Pelodiscus sinensis: one gene and its partner. The protein of the gene in region 2 interacts with the protein of the main gene of each other region in a pairwise test. Links are inferred from orthologs where the notes say so. Each region holds a gene or a part of one and is shown on either strand. Other genes may lie near its edges. The genes, in order: UBE2W and PSTPIP1.

Region 1 (3,920 bases), on a different chromosome or scaffold from region 2:
AAACATTATTAATACCGGATAGCTCTTAGATAGCACTTTTCTGTGAATCTTGAAGTGCTTCAGATAGGCAGCAGTCATCTCCCTTTACAGAGACAAACTGAGAAACAAATGTGAAATAAGCTGTACAAGAACACAACAAAGATCAGTGACAAACACAGGCCTCTCAAACCCCAGCTACCTGTAGTATTGTCTTAAAGTGTCACAACAGTCTCTTCCACACAGTTTTTATACACACCTACAAGAGTTTCTTTTAACAGAAACTTTGGGGAACATAATATTTTGTAGTCAAAACCAGGCTGCATAAAGAATTCTAAATATTAAATAAAGACCAAACAGCAGAAACAATGTGGCATGCAAGTCTTATAGAATACGACTATGTGATATGGTATGTCCTTAAGTGCTTTACCCAGCCTTTTTTAAAACGTCACGTAAACTGGACTTCCATTACTTTCTTGGGGGGGACTATTTCAGAATCTAATAAAATTTCATCCATAAAATTTTCTAGCTTAATTATAATTATTTTTGCATTTATTCATGTCATTCCTAGTTATAAACCCTAAAGATAAATATCAGTATAACACCACGTGTAATGTTCCAGTTTGTACACCTTCTCTGTTGTCTGAGTAGTGGTGTAGAAGCGCTATAGTTAAGGTTACTTCATGACACCTGTTTAAACATTAATGTTTCTACATCATCTAAAAACAAGGATCTCTCTGAAATGCTGTTTCTTTCTGGAGGTTGAAGAGTTAGTGACCCAAATTTGGAGTCATCTGAGTCAGGAGATCCAGAAATATAAGTCCCCTCCAAAAATAGCCATTTTAAAAAAAGTTTCTATGTGACGGTGTTTTGCCCAGTCGTGGAGAGCAAACTATTACAGCTGCTCCCCAGGATTACGAACAAGTTACGGACCAACACTTGGTCCGTAACTTGAAGTGTTCGTAACTCAGATCCCATAGTTACACGGTGACCGCGCTGTTCATAACTCAGATCCGCATTTACGACCGCTTTGGTCGTAAGTGCGGATGGTTGTAACTTGGGAAGCGGCTGTACTACGCTAGGGGTCAAAATGGTCTCAACTCAATTTTTATCCAAGATAGTGCATAGCATTCACTATAGAAACCCAATTTGAGAACAGTAGTTAAGAAAGTGTCTATTTTTACACTGTGCATATGCCAATACAGAAAAAACAGCTACATGATTTCCACTCCTGCCATTTGATATGCTATAAGGTTCTAAGTATGCTATACTCCAAATGACGAGGAGTCCTGTGGCACCTTATAGACTAACTGAAGTGTAGGAGCATTAACTGATGTGTAGGAGTGTAATGCTCCTACACTTCAGTTAGTCTATAAGGTGCCACAGGACTCCTCGTCGCTTTTGCAGATTCAGACTAACACGGCTACCCCTCTGATACTATACTCCAAATGGTTAATGATAATGCTTTGAAACGTGGTGTGCCTTGTAGGGGTACAGAGCAGCATTGGTGATCCAAATTTAGGATAATCTGACCAAGAGAGTCCCAAGAGACAGATCCTCCCTTATCCCCCACTCTCCCAAAAACCCCAAAAGCCAGTTTCCCTCTACTGTCTTTTACTGCTAAATCGGATGCATTACAGACCTCTAGAATGCTGTGATCTGATCCTTCAATGAACATACTTATGGATAAATGAATCACTATCCCTGTCCTTAGATAAAAGGACTTGTGGACTAAGTGGCGGGAGGTTACTACTATAGATGCGAATAGGGGAGGGTTGAATGTAATCCTGCGGCTGTCAAGGCTGTCTTTTTGTGCAACCCACCACCAACCTCAGGCAGCCATGCCCCCCTCCTATCTTCATAAACTCCCTTAGGAGCACTCTGGGAGTCTCTGTGCCCTACCCCGTACGATCCTTACACGCACCCAATGAAGAGGAAGAGCCCGGCTGACTCTACCACACCCGCCATTCCTTTCACACTTGAGGGAACTCGGCGGCGGTCGGGGACTCTTCTCCTTTCCCAGCTCCGCCGGGGAGTGTGTGAAGCGCCCCCGCCTCCTCCCACACACACCAAGGAGGGGGGGGCCCTACCCGAACTCGGCCCTTCCCGGGAGCGGGGTGTCTGCCACAGCTCGCTCACACGCCAGGCAGGGGCTTTATCGGGCCCTCGCGCTCCGGGGGGAGGTCCCGTCCCAGAGTCCCCTTCCTGGGCGGCTCCCCAGCGCTGCCCACAGGCACCCCAGAGGCCAGAGCTTCCGCGCCAACCGCCGCCCTCCCGGCTGTCCCGCACCCCGCCAGCGGCTCCTCCTGCCACCCCGGCAGCGCCGCTCTCCCCACTCCGGCCCGGCGCCCCGACTCCGCCGCCAGAGCCTCACCTGCATGGACGCCATGATGGATCCGCCCCCCTCCCCTCTGCGCCGCCGGTCCGGACCCGGAGAGAGCGAGAGAGAGAGACGCAGCGGCGTCCCGCCAGATCACGTGGGCCCCCCAAACCAACAGGGGCAGGGCGCATGCGCCGAGCGATCAGCGGTGGCGGCTGCGCTAGGTAGCGGCCTCGCCTGGCAGGGGCCCACAGGCCGGCCCGGCGAGGCCGGGATGGGAGGAGCCGCGCGTGGCAGGCCCGTCCGCTGGAGCGCGCCCGGGGCGGGGCTAGGGGCGGAGGGGCGCGACAGGCGCGGCTGGGCCACTGCGCGTGCGGAGCCTCGGGGGAGCCGGGGCTGCCCCCCGTCTCCTGTTCGGCACCCAGCGGCTCCAGGCGGGGGCTGGGCAGCATGGGCAGTTGCCAGTTGTGGGTGGACGGATTCCTGCAGCTTTCTTCCTGTGGCACAGTCTTCAGTTACAGCGGAATCGTTAGTCCCCGGAGCCACCAAGCCCAGCCTGGAGGGCTGGCAACCCTGGTGGGATTCCTGCATCGACCTGCCCCCCTCCCGTCCCCCGCCCCGTGCAGGGAAAGCTGCATTGAGGTCACATGAGAACTGTGTCACTGTCCATTATGCTGAAACGGGCTCTACTGCGCACGTGCACATGTTGATAAGTCAAATGCATGAATTGTAAGTTTGCGAAAGGCGGGTGGATTGCACTGGGGACAGCGTCCAGCGCAGCCCCGAGAGGAAGGCCGCGCCCACGGCCCAAACCCCTGAGCCACAGCGCAAGGGTGCTCGAGCTTGTGAGAAGAACAGCCTTTGCATTTTTGTTAAACGTGGTAAAACAGTGTCTGGCTTGTTTATGTTCTTGTAAATAGCTGGAATATTTCAGGCGGCTTCAGACATAGGGCAAATGGCATATAACTTCAGCCCAAATAGTTACATTTTGCTGAAGTTATATGCAACTCAAAACACGGTGAAATGTGGGGCAATCTTCATAATAGGAAGTGCTACCAGTCCTGTGTCTGATACTAGTTATTATGGCACTGTCCCCTCTTTGGGGTGCTCAGCCCTGGACAAAAATTAGCAGGTGCTCAGTATCTGCTGACAAGATCTCTCACCCTCCTATAGCCCCACTAACTAACTCCTCCCCCTCTCAGTGCATCTGACATACCACGAAACAGCTACCCCTCTGATACACGAAACAGCTGTTTCTCAGCATGCAGGAGGCTCTGGGAGGAAAGGAGCAGGGACTGGGTGTGTTTGGGAGGAGGAGGGGGAGCAGGCTTGGGGAAGAGATGGAGTGGGAACAGGGCCTGAGCTGGTGGTGGTACCATCCCCTGGTTAGAGGGGAAGTAGACACTTGTTGGTTGCAGATCAGGTCTAATATTTGTCTGGGTGAGTGTGTAAATGTATCTGCCAGATCACCTATGACATCCCATGATTTCCAGAGGCTTGTGTTACCACAAACAAATAATTGAGATAGTTTCTAGAATGATGCTGGGCATCTCATCCCCTTAGCAACACTAGAAAAAAATGCTGTCATCATCATCTAGTGGTCTTGTCCTTTGTGTTGCACATC
Region 2 (3,920 bases):
TTCCGGCTTTTTTAAAAGCCGGAAAAAAGCGGCGGACATTTTTATTTAAATGCCGCGGGGGATATTTAAATCCCCCGCGGATTTCCCTACGACGACTAGTGAAATTTACATGCCCCTTCCGGAAAAGGGGCCAGTGTAGACGTAGCCCTGGAGATTGTTGACCTGTTGACTGTGGATCTGTTTGCACTCAGTCACTCCCACAGGAAAGTATTATTGTGTATTTCACTGGAAAAGACCACATCAGAGGGTCCCATATCTGATGGCTGAAGAAGCTGTTGTACACCTTCTCCTGCACTATTTTAGTTTGAGACACTAAAGACGTCAGGAAAAGAAGAGAGGCCTTCATTCTGGCTATCTGGAAAAGGTTAGCTAGCCGTCAGAACCTCACCTCAGGAAATCTACATTCTTCCTCTGCAAGAATGACCATCAGCCTCCTGTAACACAGGCAAGACATATTTAGCAGCCCAAACTTCGTTAAGAAAATCAAAATAATTCCCAAGTCCACCAATTTTTCATCCAGGACTTTTACTAACAAATCTCACTCCATAGCATATGCAGGAGGAAAGATGCCAAGGTAAACAGATTGCCCCAGAGATGGTGTACTTCAACATGCCCTTCTAGTTGGTATGGCAGAAGGATGGAAAGTAAAAAAAGATTTCAAAGTTTGTCTCAGTATTAATAGGTTTTCTAGGAGTCGTGCAGCAATGGAGAACTCCATCATAGCTCAATGGAACTTCATTATGTTCTGACCAGAAAAAATTCCTCAGAAGCAGTATTTTCACTATCCAGCAAATGCTCAATGCTTCTTCTTGAGACCGCATCCAGTATTAAATGTCCACTCTAAACTTTCAAAGCCTTTCAGGTGCTGCTTCCCATTGTTTCAATCAGCAAAACACTTTTTTCTCCCAATTGCTTTCTCCTGCTGTGGATGAATTTAGAAGCAATATACTTGTTTCAGAAAATTATAGGGCACCGTGTTCAATGGGCACAAAGTAGCCCTCACTACATGAACTTCTTTTGTACTATATAGGCCTGCTACCTTAGGCACCCGCGACAAAATTTAGAAAGACAATTCAACTCAAAACCATAGCCTAACCTTCTATTAAGTACTTCCTTCCTGGATAAAGCACAAGTCAATCAGGCCTCACCCTCCTAAAGACATGGGTAGAAAGAGGGACTTCACCAAATTATGTGTTTGTATCATTGCAACACATAAATACAATCTTTTCCAGCTCTTTCTTCTTCTTCTTAAAGGAAAGTAGGCAAATATCGAGTGTTTAATGGTTTAATCAGAAAAAGAACATTTTTGAAAAATGAAATATCACTTATGATAGTGTGTATTAAATATTCTGTACGCTACGTCTCCCAAATGGTTATTATTATGCCTGTAGAAATGTTGGACTCTTAGGGTGTGTCTAGACTACAGGGTTTTGTCGACAAAAGTGGACTTTTGTCGACAAAACTATACCTGCGTCCACACTACCACTGAGTTCTGTCGACAGAATGTCGACAGAACTCAGCAGTTTTGTTGACGCTGGTAAACCTCATTTTACGAGGCATAACGCCTTCTGTTGACAGAGTTTCTGTCGACAGAAGGTGTTATTGCATGTAAACTGTCCTTTGCGTCTACACTACCATGTCGACAAAGCAGCTTGCTTTGTCAACAGAACATAATGTAGTCTAGACGCTCTTTGTCGACAGAAGCCTGTAGTCTAGACGTACCCTTAGGTTTGTTTCTGCACATTCATATCAGGGCTCACAGGCTCATTAGAAATAGAAATGTTTATGAACATACCTATAACCCACTGTTTACACACAGCATACCTCTGTGTAGAAATATCGAGAGCTATCAAAAAAACAAAGCTATGTCTGAGGTTCACCTCAACAGTAGATTGTATAGGGTATCTACACAGAATTGATATAAAGTTATAAGAAAGATGAACCAGCTTCTTTACCAGTGAATTTGATAATGAATTACCAGAAGTTTAAAAGTCTCAGAGGGGTAGCCATATTAGTCTGTTAAAAAAAAAGTTAAAAAACAACAATGGTCCTGTAACACGGTAGAGAATAACACAAATATATAAATAGTATCAAAGCATTCATGGACACAATCCACTTCTTCAGATGACAAATATGGAGAAGTGGGCTGTGCTCATGAAAGCTCTGAAACTATTTAAATATTTTTGTTAGTCTCTAACGTGCTACAGGATCATTGTTGTTTTTTAACTTTTTTTCCCCTGGAAATTAAAAGTGCTATGCTTAGTCCAGGGTTGGAAATAAGAACCTCATGTTGCTAGTAAAATTTTCAATAGCACCTAAATGATCTAGGACCCTAGTTCCCACATTTAGGAACCCCCATTTTAGTGACTTTCAAATTAGGTTTAGATTCCCAGGGTCTGATTCAAACCCTGACAAAGTCAATGGGAAGCCTTTCTATTGACTTCAGTGAACTTTGGATCATGCCATATGTGCTTAGGTCACTTTTGAGATCTAGGCTCCTGAATCCAAATGTAACAAATTACATTTGGGGAAAACACCACTCCTCTAAAATTTCTTTCTAAAGAAAATGGAGCATGTTTTCCTTTGCATGCCAGATTGTGAAGACTGGACATGCAGAAGGTACTTAATTAAAAACACTAAATTTGGTAATAAAAAATGTCAGTCACAGGTTTTTTATATACCCTGAAGTTTGTCAGATTTGTTTAAAAATCTTTGTAGCAAGATCAAGTCAGTTGTCCTGCTGAATACAACATTAAATATTACAGAATATATGATGCAGCCCTTTCTGTTTTACATTTTCTTCGTCAGTATTTTTAAACTGGTTTTATATTTTAAATATATGGTTAAGCCTTCATAATCATTCCAGATTTCTACATATTTAAACTCACTGAAACAAAGACATTAATCAGTCAGAGCAATTTAGTGAGTTCAAAACAAAGTTCATTGCTCTTAGAAAAATAAAACACCAATTTATTTTGTGTAATTTTCATAACAAGACATGTTTATGAAATTTCATTATATGTTTATCTTTAAAATATGTTTCTAAAAATTTTAGGCATATCAAAGAATTTTATATCTTAGTAAAGAATCTTGGTGGACAGTTCTCTTAAAACTAGTTCATCAGATTGTCAGAAGTAAAAGGGAAACTCATTTGTCCAGCTACCTGGAAGAAAAGGAATGTTGTCCCTTTAAGGACTCTCTTCAACAGGGGTGAAAGGAGAGTATGGATAGATTGAAAGATGAGGAAGACTTTGGAAGGAAGTTTGTGCCATAGTAATTAAAATTAAAATGTATGTTTTAGATAAGGGTGGTCTTTTGAAGAATTTATTTAAATAGCTATGTCTGAAGAGCCAAGCATTTAAGGCTAAAGCTGAATTCTCAGATTGTGCCTATAAATATCTGTGTGTGGATAGGTACAACAAACTAATGAAATATTTAAAGCAAATATTTAAACCAAGGTCCTGAAGGTAGAGTAATGCACACCTGTTTCTGTCCGTAAATTCAGGGCCCGGCATGCCTGTTAAATGGTTTCATTACCACTTGATTGCTCTATCACAGGTTCAATGTTATACTCAAAGGTCTGGCAAGCAGGAAGTCTTTTACTTTTAAGTTAACAGATCCACTTTGGAGGAAGAGTCACCAGGTCAGAATAGGGATAGGATGAGGGGAGGGGGTTAAGCGGTAAGACCCACGGGAGGCATTGACTTCCCTTGCCTTTTATCCCTGCTGCCCATGCTCCTAAGTGACTGAGATGCTTTTAAAAATTATACTCTGTCTCCCAAGATGATTAAGGAAGTGCATTGAATGGTACCAGCAGATGCTATATCCGGTTCCTAGCCAGAGTTAGCTGCATTAAAAGGCTTTGATGGTGGAGATGAACTTTGTCAAAATAGGAGGATTTAGGGCCAGCTCTTGCTCCA

The links.
Region 1: the proteins of PSTPIP1 (region 2) and UBE2W interact in binary tests that used the Homo sapiens proteins (3 or more experiments, as listed by UniProt). The two-hybrid records come from large-scale screens. The link is inferred for Pelodiscus sinensis from reciprocal best matches to the Homo sapiens genes PSTPIP1 and UBE2W.

Annotation. Positions count from the first base shown.
Region 1 is NC_134712.1:53,659,913-53,663,832, reverse strand, and holds the start of UBE2W (ubiquitin-conjugating enzyme E2 W), read right to left. Parts: upstream 2,962-3,920; 5' UTR 2,366-2,961; coding exon of another isoform or gene 2,351-2,365; intron 2,284-2,350; exon of another isoform or gene 1,901-2,283; intron 1-1,900. UniProt on the Homo sapiens protein: Accepts ubiquitin from the E1 complex and catalyzes its covalent attachment to other proteins.
Region 2 is NC_134724.1:32,682,544-32,686,463, reverse strand, and holds the start of PSTPIP1 (proline-serine-threonine phosphatase-interacting protein 1), read right to left. Parts: upstream 2,832-3,920; 5' UTR 455-2,831; coding exon 389-454; intron 1-388. UniProt on the Homo sapiens protein: Involved in regulation of the actin cytoskeleton. May regulate WAS actin-bundling activity. Bridges the interaction between ABL1 and PTPN18 leading to ABL1 dephosphorylation.